Mytilus edulis: one gene and its partner. The protein of the gene in region 2 interacts with the protein of the main gene of each other region in a pairwise test. Links are inferred from orthologs where the notes say so. Each region holds a gene or a part of one and is shown on either strand. Other genes may lie near its edges. The genes, in order: DNA-directed RNA polymerases I and III subunit RPAC2-like and DNA-directed RNA polymerases I and III subunit RPAC1-like.

The links.
Region 1: the proteins of DNA-directed RNA polymerases I and III subunit RPAC1-like (region 2) and DNA-directed RNA polymerases I and III subunit RPAC2-like interact in a two-hybrid assay, tested with the Drosophila melanogaster proteins (2 studies listed by BioGRID). The link is inferred for Mytilus edulis from reciprocal best matches to the Drosophila melanogaster genes Polr1C and Polr1D.

What each region holds. Positions count from the first base shown.
Region 1 is NC_092351.1:1,777,344-1,785,231, forward strand, and holds the start of DNA-directed RNA polymerases I and III subunit RPAC2-like, read left to right. Parts: upstream 1-4,495; 5' UTR 4,496-4,563; coding exon 4,564-4,629; intron 4,630-6,567; coding exon 6,568-6,668; intron 6,669-7,090; coding exon 7,091-7,167; intron 7,168-7,888. Other genes in the region: iduronate 2-sulfatase-like, read right to left, coding at 1,170-1,306, 2,280-2,337; uncharacterized protein, read left to right, coding at 2,771-3,739. UniProt on the Drosophila melanogaster protein: DNA-dependent RNA polymerase catalyzes the transcription of DNA into RNA using the four ribonucleoside triphosphates as substrates.
Region 2 is NC_092346.1:91,463,730-91,471,388, forward strand, and holds the start of DNA-directed RNA polymerases I and III subunit RPAC1-like, read right to left. Parts: upstream 3,222-7,659; 5' UTR 3,125-3,221; coding exon 3,062-3,124; intron 2,055-3,061; coding exon 1,983-2,054; intron 611-1,982; coding exon 503-610; intron 1-502. Other genes in the region: AP-2 complex subunit sigma, read left to right, coding at 3,305-3,307, 5,143-5,292, 5,789-5,962, 6,734-6,835.

The DNA of each region.
Region 1 (7,888 bases), on a different chromosome or scaffold from region 2:
CTTCTGTTTCTCAACCAACATTCACTTGGGATAGTTTTGTAAATTTAACAGGGTTAATTTCCAGTTCACATTTTCAAATCTGATAAGATAAATTACTATTTCTTTTTGTAGATGAATTTTTCCTGTTTTGTAGCCTGTCCCAAGACAGGAGCTTGTAATTCAGTGGTTGTCTGTTGTTGCTGTGTTACATATTTGTTTTTGGTTCATTTTAATTGCACATTAATTACCGGTAGGCTGTTAGTTTTCTTGTTTAAATTGTTTTACATTTGTGATTTCAGGGCCTATTAAAGCTGATTATGTGGTATGGGTTCTGCTCATTGTTGAAGGTCATCCAGGTGACCTATAGTTGTTAATTATCTTGTGGAGAGTTGTCTCATTAGCAATCATGCTACATATTCTTTTTTATATTTAAGTTTCCATGAAAAATGCAAACATAAGCAGCAATCTCAAGAAAATGGCTGTACCAAGTGAGGAATTAGTCCAAATAATTATGACATTTTGAAAGACTATTATATTTTTTTTCTTTGACGCCTTACATCGATGTCAAAGCAAAAATTTAAATGGCCTTCCAAGACATCATAATTATTTGGACTTGTGATCAAGGATCTGTTATCCAATATTTAAGTTAATTGATACAGTTTAGTGTTTGGTTTTGTTAGGTTTTTATTCATCATCACCTTTTTTTTAATTTACCTTGGAGTTCCATATTCTGGATATTACAATTTTAAGAACTATTATTGCCAGGAACATGAGTGAGTCACATGCAACAGACTTATACTGTGGATTCATTAATATATGTTTTATACCAAATTGTGGATTTCGTGGGGACAGCATGTTCAGTCATACAGTGGAACCACAAACTTAAATGTTCAACAGATAACAAATTTTCTTAAGGAATGTATGCAGACTTTTATTTAGGGGCCAGCTGAAGGACGCCTCCAGGTGCGGGAATTTCTTGCTGCATTGAAGACCTGTTGGTGACCTTCTGCTGTTGTCTGTTCTTTGGTTGGGTTGTTGTCTCTTTGACACATTCCCCATTTCCATTTTCAATTTCATTTGCCATAACCACTAAATTAGATATCCACGAATATGCAAGTTTTTCTCAAGCCACCAAAAATTGGTACCCACGAATATAAATTCACAGTTAATGAAGTGCTTATACAACAAACCTGGGCATACGTTCTGTTAAAAACTACTGATTGACTTGCAAGGAGGTCAATATTTGGAGTGATCAAAGGTTCATATCCATAGCAACCAAGAGATGGTCTAAGATCATCTGCTACTATCAACAGAACATTCAGTTTCCCTGAAAAAAGTAAACAAAATATTTTTTTACTTGATCATAATTCTTTAATTTTGATAATTTAATTTGATAGATTACATAGATATAGGAAGATGTGGTGTGAGTGCCAATGAGACAACTCTCCATCCAAATAACAATTTAAAAAGTAAACCATTATAGGTTAAAGTACGGCCTTCAACACGGAGCCTTGGCTCACACCGAACAACAAGCTATAAAGGGCCCCAAAATTACTAGTGTAAAACCATTCAAACGGGAACACCAACGGTCTAATCTATATAAACAAAACGAGAAACGAGTACATCCCCTTTTAAGCCATCTTATCTTTATTTATTTATTGTTCTTCAATACTGTTTGTACAAGAAGGCCTAGTCTTATCAATCCCCAACACTGTATCATTATGCATATTATTATTACAGGTTATGTAATGTACTGTTGGGTTGATCTTTCTCTTGTATTTGCCTATCTTTACTTATACAGTCTTTTTCCTCCTATCTTCCACCTCAAGTTCTGGTTCTCAGATCACAACTTGCCTTCTGATTCATGCTAAATGCTTTATCAGAGTTACCATTGCATTGGTGTTTATGACAGATCTTTGGTAGTTCCTTTTTAAATTACACATCACTATTTAGAGTTTGACATACACGATGCACAAACAAGTCTTGTGTACTACGAGAAGACTTTTTTCACCATAAGTTGTGTAGTCTTGCTACAGTTGTGTTGCTTGGTTGTTTTTCTCATTTACAAATATAATTATACATCTACTTTATATAATTGAGATAGAAAATGGGGAATATGTCAAAGAGACAACAACCCGACCAAAGAGCAGATATTAGCTTAAGGCCCCCAACAGGTCTTCAACACAGTGAGAAAATCCTCCACTGGAGGTGGTCCTCATCTGGTTCCTTAACAAAAATTATTTTTTACCAGTGCAGTACTGAAATATATGAACTATTAATTCTAAATAAAAACTAATTACCTTTAGAAATAGTCACTAGAACCAGCAGGAACAGTAATCCATGACATATATTCATCATTCAATATTCAACAACTGTCATGACTGTACTTCTTCATTCCTACAAACACCCACCAATAGTAAAATAAACACATGATTATAATAGCTTGATAACTATACAGATATTCTATAAAGAGTATGAAGAGCATAAAAATACAAAAACTCTTTTATCTCCCCAGAGTTTAACAAAATGTATAATATATGTCAAAATTTAAGTCCAAATGTTAATGACATATAAAGTTTTGCTTTTTTGCATAAATCAATCATTTGCCAAAGCTACTTGGGGACAGGACTTATTTTTTATTTTAGAGAAATCTTTTTTTCTTTCTTTCTATAAACATGATACATAGTTTAATGGGTTACAAAGATATAAATCTCCTCCAGATTATTGGAAAAACCTTGGAAATTCCAAATCAAGATCAACAGACCAAAAAAATGTTGGAAAACACATAATAATGGAAAAACTAAGTCATCTTCCAGCAAACTCATGTATAGCATTTACTGATGGGTCCTGTCTTGGCAGTCCTGGCCCTGTAGGAGCAGGTGCTGTCATTTTTCCATCAAATAATCAACAACAAATTGAAATTAGTAAAGCTGTATCCAAGAAAGGATCAATACTACTCGGAGAACTGATCGCCATTAAACTTGTTGTTGACCACTTTTTAATATCAGAAAACAGACAAAACACAGACTCAATTACACTTTTTTCAGATAGTCAGACCTCAATTGGAATTTTAACTTTAAACTGGAAATCAGAAAATTACATCAAAGTCATAAGAGAAATTAAGAAAAACATGAAAGTATTAAAGATGAATGGAATTCCATTAAATTTTGAATGGACACCTGGTCATGCTGATATCCAAGGAAATGACATTGCTGATTCACTGGCCAAAAAAGGAGCTAAAGAAGCTGAAAAAATAGAAGAACCATCAGAAGTAACCAGGCAGGATATAAAACGTTCAGCAAGAGAAAGTGTTTTAAGAAAATGGCAGAACCAATGGGAATCAAGTCAATGTGGCAGAAATTATTATAACTATCATCAAAAAGTTTGTCAAAAAATACCAAAAGATTTACCATCCAAATGGTCGTTTTCAATTATTACTAGTTTGAGAACAGGTTATTGTGATCTAAATGATTATAAATCTAAAATCATACCATCATCAGACAAAAACTGTTCCTGTGGAGAGCCAGAAACTGTAGAACACTACCTTTTACATTGTTCTAACTATGAGGAGGCTAGAGAGAGGATGAGAACATCTATTTACTTTATAACAGGAAATATACGCATGGATTTAGACACCTTACTAGGAATTGATGAAGAAGACATTAATAGAGACAATCGAAATGAGATATTGTGCCATCTGGAAAATTATTTAACGGAGTCTGGTAGATTCAAAAACACTATACAGCAAAAAACACTATAATTCTAAATCAAAATTAAGTCAAAATTTGTTAAGCAGCAGCGGCCACCATTTCAATTAAGTACATGAGTGAAAATTACATATGTGAAAAAACTACAAAAGAGGAAACGTACACATTTGGGACACTTACTAAAGACTAAAGACTAAATGTTTTTCTGCATAATGCAATCATAAAGATCTTGAATTGCTACTTACTCAGTTACTGCCTATAATCATGATAATTTAACTATTTACAGCGGTCTAGTGAGTGAGTGAAGTTAGTTCAAATAATTATGACATCTTTTATAAAAAGCTATTATACTTATTTTCTTTAAAAGGCGTTGAAGCAAAAAATTAAGATAGCCTTGCAAGAAGTCATAATTATTTGGACTACAGCGGTCTGTGTAATGACACTGATACAAAACAAAAAGATAAAAGATTTTGGAAAAAAAGGTGGAGGGCTAAACAAATTGTTCTGTCCAGTGTTCCTAAGTGTCTTCTGCAAGAATTGTGTAAAATTTATAAAATTCACCTTTACTAAATTTTATATGTATCTTGTCAGTAAATTAGAAAAGATTATTATGTATCTTTAAATACTCTTAGATGTTTACTTCATCAGACTGCAAGTGCAGTCCACATGTTGAAGTGGGATTATTATACTTATATATATTATCAATATACTATTTCCAAAATAGCTTGAAACTAATATAATTGTCCCAGATAGAAGCATTGAAGATCATTGAACTGTTAATCAAGTGTGTAATATAAAGTGAAAGTACATACCCGTATTTGTTTCTAAAATTATATATTTGTAAACCGGAAACTACTTGTTTCGTTTTGTATGCAGCATGTCTAAGAAAGAAAAAGATGCCACTAAAACTCCTGTTGAAGTCGGTAGTCATCGTCTCGAAGTTGTAAGCTATTTCTTAATCACTTAACAATACCCTTTTCTCTCTAATTTTAAAACTTAATAAACAGAGAGCATTATTCTGAGGAGAAATTGTCTTCTCCCAAACTCAGGACCTCTGTCACAGGTACTTCACTATACTTGTTTCTATCCATTGGAAGGTCGACTATCAATATAAAGATTCTATTTATATGGATAGCCGACCTTCCTTTGGCTATGGATAGAAACAAGTGCCTGTGACCTCTGTAACTTGACAGCACATTATACACCTTATCGCTTATCCCGGCTGACCCGGCCGCTTGAACTTTTGACGTCAACAACAATCACTTTTCCATTGTTGCGTCAGATATTTTGTTTTATGACGTCTAATTTTTACGGGAACCTGTGTGATATCTAGTAATGGCAGACATATAGCGATAAGGAACTCACTAGTCCGAGATTACTCTGACGTCCAATGGTTGTTTTGCCAGAAAAGATAGGGCCCCAGCTTGTCTGGCAAAACAGCAGTTGGATGTCAGAGTAATCTAAACTAAACTCACAGGCACTTGTTTTTATCCATAGCTAAAGGAAGGTCGGCTATCCATATAAATAGAAGCTTTATATTGATAGTCAACCTTCCTATGGATAGAAACAAGTGCCTGTGATCCACGACTAGAGCCTAGAGCAGTGGAGCACATACACTTGTTTGTTTCTATCCATACATGAATATATATAGGAAGGTTCACTATCCATATAAATTATAAGCTTCTTCCTTTCTCTATCATATGTGGATAGAAACAAATGCCTGGTGACTGTGCACAGGCTACCGGAGTCGAAATAATAATGATGTCTTGAAAGGCTATTTATTTACTTTCTGTGGCGCCCAAAGGGCCCAATGTGAGCTTATATGCCATCACTTGCTGTTCGTCATCGTCTGTCGTCATGAACTATTTAAAAAATCTTCTCCTCTGAAACTACTTGATCAAATACCTTCAAACTTTAACTTAATATTTCTTAAGGTATCTAGTTTATAAATTGTATCTTAAGTTTTGATCCATCTTCAAAAATGGCCACCATGGCTAAAAATAGAACATAGTGGTCAAATGGCATTATGCAGTTTTTGACTTATATCTCAATAACTGAAGCTTTAAAAGCAAATCTGACTTGGGTTTAATCGGCCATGAAATAATAAGACAATTCCAACAACTCATTGTTGGGTTGCTGCCACCTTTTTGTTAGTTTTAACAAAATTTTACAGTTTTTTGTTATTATCTCGAATATTATAATGGATAGATGTAAACTGTAAGCAGCAATATTGTTCAGCAAAGTAAGATCTACAAAAAAATTAAATGACCAAGATTGTCAATTGACCCCTTTAGGAGTTATATTGCCCTTTAAAGACAATTTTACACAATTTGTTCATCAAGTTTACTAACATTTAAAAATCTTCACCTCTGAAATAGAGGTGAGCAATTCAGCCTCATGTTGCATATATTCAAGACTATAAATGCTGAAAATTGTTTCCAGACAGGAACTCAATATATTTTTATTGTTACATTTTATTTTTGTACAAGTTTTACATTTACAAGTTATGTAATATTTTGTGTGTAGCATTGGACAATGTTGGAATACTTTGTACTACATGTATATATCTTCTTCCTATTGTTCTGAATTTATGAAGTTTAATCCTCTTGCTGCCAAAGGTACATTTATGGCTTCTACCATTGTCTACACACAAAAATTGTTGATTGTCAAGGTGTCAATGAATGTTGTCTCAGTTTGTTAAGAATATGTATTCTGGGCAAATGAAAAAATTGTGAACAGGAAATTCTTTTAACAAACAAGTACAAAATGAAGTATCTTCATGATCTATTAAAAAAAAATATGAACTAATATCACTCATGAATCCCTTTGTGGGAACTTTAACATTAGTATAACCAAGAAGTTCATTCTATTTTTACTGTAGATAGAAACACCAGGAGAAGAAGACGAAACATGTAAAACATTTGTATTCCATAACGAAGACCACACACTGGGAAATTCTCTACGTTATATTATAATGAAAAAGTGAGTACTCTGAGAAATAATGAAGATTATGATAATAACAAAATTAATAGATGTACATTGTTTTGGTAAAGCTTTTTAACTACAGATTTTCCTCTGGTTTTATTTAGTTGTTGGTTTGATGTTTTATCATGTATATTGAAAGTTAAACTTATTTTTCCATTTTATCATATTTTTATGGTAGGGATTAGATTAAAACACAGTACGTCCTCTAATTGTAGTTATTGGCCTTAAAAATTTATCTGAAGGTCAACAGAAAAAAAGTCTTGACATCAAGGAAAATTTAAGTATCATTTTCTAATCAGTCATAATATTTAGACATATTTTCTTCTAACTTAATAAGCTTGATAACTATGATTATGGTATGGGTATTATTTTTTTCATAACTTTCTATATTTGATAATGATATGGTTTTGTTTTTGTAGTCCTGATGTAAAGTTTTGTGGCTACAGTGTTCCCCATCCCTCGGAACTTAAAATCAACTTCCGTGTTCAGACCTATGGTGAGTATTTATAATATTCATGTAATAAAGTATGTGAAATTTCATCTCTCAATAGAAATTTGTTGCATATTTTCTCAACTCATTTCAACCATGTTTCTTGGTTATAAGAAACAGTTCTGTAATCATATTTTTTTGTGATTCATAAAAACAAATTTTCGCAGCTGAATATAAATATCACTGGAATCTCATGTTGGTCAATGAAAATACAAAGCGGACACAATAAGTCAGAATGGTGGATAATCTAATTTGTTTTTCCAAAGTTCTTTATATTTTATAGGTTAAATGAATAGATAATATAAATTACTTTGACATTGATGAAGAGAAGTCAGAAATCCCATCAATATTGACATACTGTAGATACATAATTTTTTGTGGCATACAATTTTATGGAATGACAGATTTCATTGGTATAGAAGAACTAGGAATTCAAATCCTCAGTGTATAAGAAATGTGCTATAGAAATATATGCAGAATTTGGTGAACCACAAACAAGACAAAATTAAAAATCTTCAAAAATACAAATTTTCCTCAATCCACAAAAAATTGATGACTTCTCAGTAGATTGAATCAAATATGATTTCCTGTTCCAACTGCAAGATAAGTTTCTTTAAGTTTCATGAAAATATAAAAACAGAATTGCTATGAACATGCTTTTTAACCAGATTTTTATGACAAAAATGTTGGTTATTAATTTGGGGATGTACGGCGGGCAGCCTGGCAT
Region 2 (7,659 bases):
TAAAAGATCTGACTAATAGCAAGAATATGAGAAAACACTTGTTTGAATTTTTGTGTGATTTAATATACTTAGTCAACTAGACCACCAGAGCTTGTGTTTATGTTGTTTATTTACTGATTTTAAATAAAGTCAATTTAATTGAAACATGCTTTGTTTGATTAATTCTAAATGCTTTGGCTAAAGAGGCATCACTAGTGAGATTTGGGGTTTAACCTGCTATTTATTACTTACTTCTGAAAGAAGAATCCTTCTAAATGCATTGGCTAAAGAGGCATCACTAGTGAGATTTAGGGTTTAACCTGCTATTTTTTACTTACTTCTGAAAGAAGAATCCTTCTAAATACATTGGCTGTAGAAGCATAACTCCTAACGTGTCTACACAAGTGTGAGTTTGGGTGTAACTTGCTATATTTTACTTACTTCTGAAAGAAGAATCCTTCTAAATGCATTGGCTATAGAAGCATTACTAGTGTGAGTTTGTAACCTGCTATTTTTTACTTACTTCTGAAAGAAGAATCCTTCTAAATGCATTGGCTATAGAAGCATCTACTCCTACCATATCAAATTCAAGTTCATCATGGCTCATCTTTACCATATCAATTCTGAACTTCTAAAAAAGTATAATTGGTTTACAACTATAACCTTGTTCTAACAAACTACAGTAAAACCTGTATAAACCGGCCGGCTACGGGACTATGAAAAAGGGCCGGTTTGGGCAGTGAGCCGGTTTATTCAGGTTTCCGTATCGACCGGAAGTTAATGACTTGTGACGTCCGATAGTTTGCATATAAAAGTTCTCTTTGATAGTTAAGAATATCTGATCAATTAAAATATTTTCACTTCGTTTTCCATTGTTTACATTTGCATCCTAATGCTCGCGTTGTTTGGATTGTGAGACGAGAGTTTCGATTTACTTCCATGATCATTTATTTGAAATGTTGGAATGGCCGATCAAAAAGCCAGAATATTATCAAACGTAATCTCATCACTATTGAAACGTTGTCGTACAGTTTACTATACCCATTGATTGTTGTCATCTGGGTGGTTTTCATTATCAAGGTCATTTGTTTAGGGGTTCACAGCAGGGAACCCAGGGTTTCGACATCACGTTGTAAATTTCTTATGCTGCGATTTAAATTTGTTTATCCAAGTTAACGTTACAAAACGTAAGTTAAATCCGAGATATATTCGGTGTGTCTTGTCGTTTAATTGACACGTTTATAATGTTTTAATAAATAATACAGCTCACTACTGTACGATTGAAAGTTCACTTCACAGTTTAACACCTGACTAATTGATTAATTATCCTGAAAAGTCATATTGTATAAAGTAAACAATTATGTTTTGATTGCATATCGATCAGTGAAATTAATTAGACAAACCGGTTTTGACAGGTAATAATTAATGTAATTAAGAGTATTGGGACTTCATAATTAGACCGGAATTCGGAATACACAGGGTCCGGTTTACAAAGGGTATTTTAACAAAGACTTTGAAGGAAAAAAAATGGGACTTTCATTTTCGGCCGGAATGTACAGGAAGCCGGTTTATTCAGGGTCCGGTTTAATCAGGTTTGACTGTACATGTAAAATGCATTGTTTCATTAGTTTAATGTCTTTGCTTTACTATAATTTACTTCTTTTTTTTTTTAAATACTTTGCAACTTATATTTGTTGCTTGTTTTTAATTTTACGGTGTACTGTTATTCCACTGTCCAAGTTTAGTGGTGGGTTGGCGCCTTAAAACTAGTTCAACTTTAACTGCCACATTGTATGTGCCTGTCCCAAACTGTAATTAAGTGGTTGATGTTTTTTGCTAAATATCATATTTGTATTTCATTATTATTTTGTAAATAAATCAGGCAGTAAGTTGTCTCTTTGGAATTGCATTACATTAGTCATTTTGAGGCTTTTTATAGCTGACTATGAGGTGTGGGTTTCAATTATTGTTGAAGGCCGGACAGTAACCTATACAAATCTTACCTTTTCAAATTTTTTCTGACTCCAAGAGTCATCATAATCTTCATAATTTCCAGGAAAGTCAGAGCTATGTGTCTACAAATATAATTCATGAGTTATGTTTTTATTACATATTTAGAATAAGTATCTTAACATAAATTACACACCCACAACCTATCAGGTCTGTGACTGAATTTATTTTGAGTATTCATATGGTCATTAACTCATTTGATAAAGTCATGCTGATTATAAAGGTGCACACAGTTTTCTCTGCTTTCAAAATCTTTGTTTGAACCTGTCCTGGTTTTCTTACTACAACCAGAGACTACTTGTAGTTATATATTTTTTGGCCGATGATTGAATTTCATAGTGTTATTCCCTGTATAATGACAAAGTTCAGGTGTGATTATGACTTGTGTACAATGTATATAGCGAATTTTAATTCCAAATACACCATTTATTCAACAAATTATGGTCATTTGCATAAATCATCACTGTTTTCTCGTAGTCACGTGATAATCTTTGAAAATGAAAGGCAAATGGAAAAATCGATGGGTCTCTGTGAAAACTGTTAAAATATGGAAAAATAAAAGTTGGCAGGTAGGTGAAACTTACATAAATGAAAAGATAAATGAAAAATGAACAGATTGATGCCTGATTTATTTAATTCCAAGGCCGTCAGTCGGCACCAGAAGCGACGAAGCAGCGCATCTATTTTGGGTGGGCAAATATCCACTTTTTGATATGGGACGAGCTCTGACGTCCCACGGCCCCAGCTTGTCTGACAAAACAGCCGTTGGACCTCAGAGTAATCTCGGACTAGATGAACGTGAATAGTGCAGGGATACAGGCGACCCCTCTATCAGATTATTATATCTGGTAAATGACCTCATAAAGACACGTATAATTGACGAGTTTTATCCAGTGACGGATGAACTCGAAAGTGGTCTATTGTTTCAACATATATTATAAGCTTTAGGAACAGGATCAGGACATGTATCTTTTCCTCTTTTTATACAGAAATTATAAGACTCAAAATTAACCAGAAGCTTACAACCTTTACTATAGTATACTAGTTCCATATAAATGCTGAAAAAACATACATTTTCTACAGCATGCTCCCGTAGAGTAACTTTCCTCCTGACGTCATCTATTAGGTCTGTCATGTCAGACTTGGGTATTTTTTCTAAGCTACATGCATGTTTGTAAACAGCTCCATGTGCTGGTCCTCCTTTATAAAGATCATCTGAACGCTTTGAAGCAACGTAAAACTCCTTGGTGCAAAACGTTCTCCTGACGTTGAATGTGGGAGGTTAATCATTTCCGGTATACGAAATTATTCAGAAATGGTAACACAGCCTCTTTTTATTATATTTTAAGGCATTTATTCATGATTGAACACACATTATTTGGCCGTAACACTTTCTCAGTTGATAATAACTTGCAATAGTGCTAGGTGTATTCGGAGTTGAGATCCACATTTTGATCTGAGTGTTGTTGACACTGTCACTTTTGACAGCAATGCTAAAAAAATTTGAATGTATAACTTACAATACAATTTCTGAGTGGTGGAATTTAATATTTTGTGGGAGTTCTTGGCCTATTGATGCTTTTCCTCTGCTTCTTCTTAAAAAAAACGGGAGTCGTTACTTTCTGCAGAAAGTCTGAAAGAATAAAGTTCTAACTTCTGTTGCCCGGGCTACTTCTGTCTGACAGGCGCACACAGTTTTAACCCTCTTGCTGCCGGGGGGACACATGTGTCCACACCGACTGTGCTGGAGGGACACATATGTCCATGTTTTAACTTATGCTAGCTTCTCATCATTACTGTACCTCTTTCAAAATAAAAGACTGAAACTTAAAAAGTGTAATATGTTTCTACAATGACTCTCAAATGTAACGGTCATTACAGCATGACATCATATATCAAATGACATCATTGTTTGGCATGTCACATTGTCGAGCGGTCATATTTTCTGGCATATGAATGCAACCCTGAAAAACATCTGGCAGCAAAAGGGTTAAGTAAGTTATGTTAGTGCATAAAAGGTAGCACAATACAAAGATTTTTCATCCCCAATCAGACATCTTTAAACTGATGTAATTCCACTCATCTTTCTTTAAATGTTATAAATGAGGTACCAAAAGAAAGAAGAAGGATTATTCTTTCAAATTGTGATAATTTCATTAAGACATATCTTCATAGCATCCTAAAAAAAATTATAGATTCTTGCACAACACAGTTTGACCTCCAAAACTGTGTCTCAGATTTTTCCTATTGTATTTCATTCTCTCATAAATCTTCAATGAAGTTTGCAACATCAATTCATTAGAGACCACTTAGTTCAATTGAGTATAAAATTTGTTCTATTGATGATTTTGGAAATCTGAGACACAGTTTTGGAGGTCAAGCTGTGTTGTACAAGAATCTATAAAATATTTTGGGATGCTATGAAAAACAAAGACGCTAAATTCATTCAAGTGTGGACATCAAAATATAGCGACTAATTACATAATAATTAATTATGTAATAGTTATGTCATAATGAAATTATCACAATTTGAAAGATTGATCTTTCTTCTTTCTTTTGGTACTTCATTTATAAAATATAAAGAAGGATGAAATGAATTACATCAGTTTAAAGTTGTCTGATTGGGAGTGAAAAAATCTTTGTATTGTGCTACCTTAAATTGGTATCTGTCTGTTCACTTACAAACACATTCAGACCCTACATGTGCGCTAATTGAGCCTTGGGTCTGTTACACCAAATTCATGTCGCACATTTACTGGTTGGATAGACCACTTTCAAGTTATGTCCACCACTTGAAAAAATCATCAATTATGCACACCATTTTGACGATTGCTGAAATTTAACATATTAAAAGGACATGTTACATGTACATGTATGTACCTATATATTTTGAAGCTGTATTTTAGAGTTATGTGTATTCTGAATTATTCAAGAGGCAATTTCACAAAGGCACAGGGAATCTATGACATCTGACTTCCACTTCAAAGGTTCATAAGATACTTTTATCTTTACTGGTCTTGTGAAAAATAACACCAGGATGTTGACCAATGTCCAGCAGTCTGCTCAAGTAATTTAATGAAGCTATTATATTAAACTTTTGCTGCTATTTAACTTTATGGTATTAACTGTAAATTTACAATACATTTTTTCTAGATTCGTTTTATCCTGATACAGAACCGGGCTGGCAAAACGCGTCTGGCTAAGTGGTATATGCACTTTGATGATGATGAAAAACAGAAACTAATTGAAGAAGTGCATGCTGTTGTTACTGTCCGTGATGCTAAACACACTAATTTTGTAGAGGTACATTGTATGCTGTGTGATACTAGCACATGTACAATACCCATCATATGAATAAACAAACAATTATTTTTGAAGGGTCTCTTGTACTAAAAGATCAGTGTGATGCAATATAATTCTTGAAAAACAATGGACACAGTAAGTTTCAAGTGGTGTATCTTAAAAATGCTGAAACATCAACTTGAAACTTAGCACTTATTACCAGTTGAAATACATGAAAAACATCACCACAAGTTACTAAATGACACAGAAATTAACAACTATCATGACTATTCAACATTGATTGCCCATACTGGGAAGTCAGCCATAAAAGACCCTGAAATGACAAATGTAAAAAAAATTAAAGAAGAAAACTAAAGGCCAAAATGAATGTACAAAATAATGAATGCTTACCTGTAGTTTATGTTCAAGCAATCCAAAGATTGTTTTTTTTTTGTATTTTAAAGGGTTATTTGTAATAGATATACCTGTGTATAATAATATGTAATTTTTTTTGCAGTTTAGGAATTTTAAGATTGTGTACAGAAGATATGCTGGTTTATATTTCTGTATCTGTGTTGATGTAAACGACAACAATCTTGCATACTTAGAGGCAATACACAATTTTGTAGAAGTGCTTAATGAATATTTCCATAATGTCTGTGAATTAGATCTTGTATTCAACTTTTATAAGGTAAAGTATTTATATTGTGTCTCAACATAAAACCTTTATTTTGTGTTCATAATTATACAAGTTGAATAAAAGGATCTTAATAGATATATGAATGACAGTATTCCTTTTGAAGTTGGTGGTTTTCTCTTGGGTCCCGGCTTCCTCAACCAATAAAGCTTGTCACCATGACTTAGCCAAGTGTGCTGTAAGTGATATTAAAGACCAACAATCAATCTATCAATCTTATAAAATTCATGATGTTGTAACTGACAGAACAAGTCATGCAATTACAGAATTTCCATTAAGAAGTTTTAACTATTTATTTTCTATATTATGTGTCCTCTTTGTTGAGCCTCAACATTTTAAGTAATTGGTTTCTATGGTTTTCATACAATTTATAAGGGTCTGTACAGTGAAATCAGGAAAACAAATGTTCTAATCTATCATATCTTTATAGAAAAAAAAGAAGAAAAAAAAACCAACAACAAAAAGCAAGAAAGGAGAAAAACTTATGAACCATATCAACAAACGACAACCACTGAACAACAGGTTCCTGACTTAGGACAGGTGCAAACAAATGCTGCAGTTTAAATGTTTTAAAATCCCAGTTTGTCAACCATATTGAGGCCCTGTCCTAGGTCATGGTCCTGCAGCTTTGATTTAATAAGATTGTAGCTATCTATAAGATTATTCCTGAATTTTCTGCTGACAGACAAGACATATCTTTGTGTCAACAGTTTATTTAATGGGAAACTTCGATCTTCAGTTATATTTATTTTGTTTTATTTTTAGGTTTACAGTGTAGTGGATGAGATGTTTTTAGCAGGAGAAATTCGAGAGACAAGTCAAACAAAAGTTTTAAAACAACTTCTTATGTTATCATCATTAGAGTAAATACTATGTTATAGGACTTAATAGACCAAAGTGTTGTAGACAGATGTCATTTATTGTGTATGATTTTATTACTATGAACTTTGTTGGTTATTTTTAACAGAAATGTTACAATAATTGGCTATTTAGATAAAGATGTCATAATCCATATGTAAAACAACAAGTAATGTTTCTGAGGACAGTATCTGATTGCAAGGTGATTTTTGCCTAAAAAAAACAGAAAAAAGCTAGAAGTGATTAGAGTGGAAAGTGTAGAACTTTTTTTATTTCGTTGTATTATATAAAAGTTATCATTATATTATCAAAATGTTGTTTTGTTGAGACATGAAAATAATGAGAACGTTAATAGATATTGTTCATATGAATGATACATTCCAAATTCACCTAGTTATTGTTAATGTAAATACATGATATTATTGCATCCTCCAGCATGTTTTCGTGTTTCATGGTTACTGGAGAACTACATATATATATATATATATACAACTCGTCTAAACATCAACCCAACAATGTTAGATCGGTTAATTTGCTTTTGCAAATTTTTTTATCATCCCTCGCCGGGATTTGAACCCATGCTACTGAGATATCGTGTAGAGTTGTCACTGACTCAGACGTACTTATATATATATACCTATCAGAAAGGGAAGGAAATTTAGATATACAAAATCTAATTGCAGCTAAGAAAAATTATTATAATAGCATTTTGGTAAGACCCTAATGAAACTGAAGAGGCCTCTGGATCAGTTGCATAGATGAGGAGGTGTAGGAAGGGTCCTGATCCCAAAATCCTGGGCTTCAAAAACATGAAATCCAGAGGTCCCGAATTT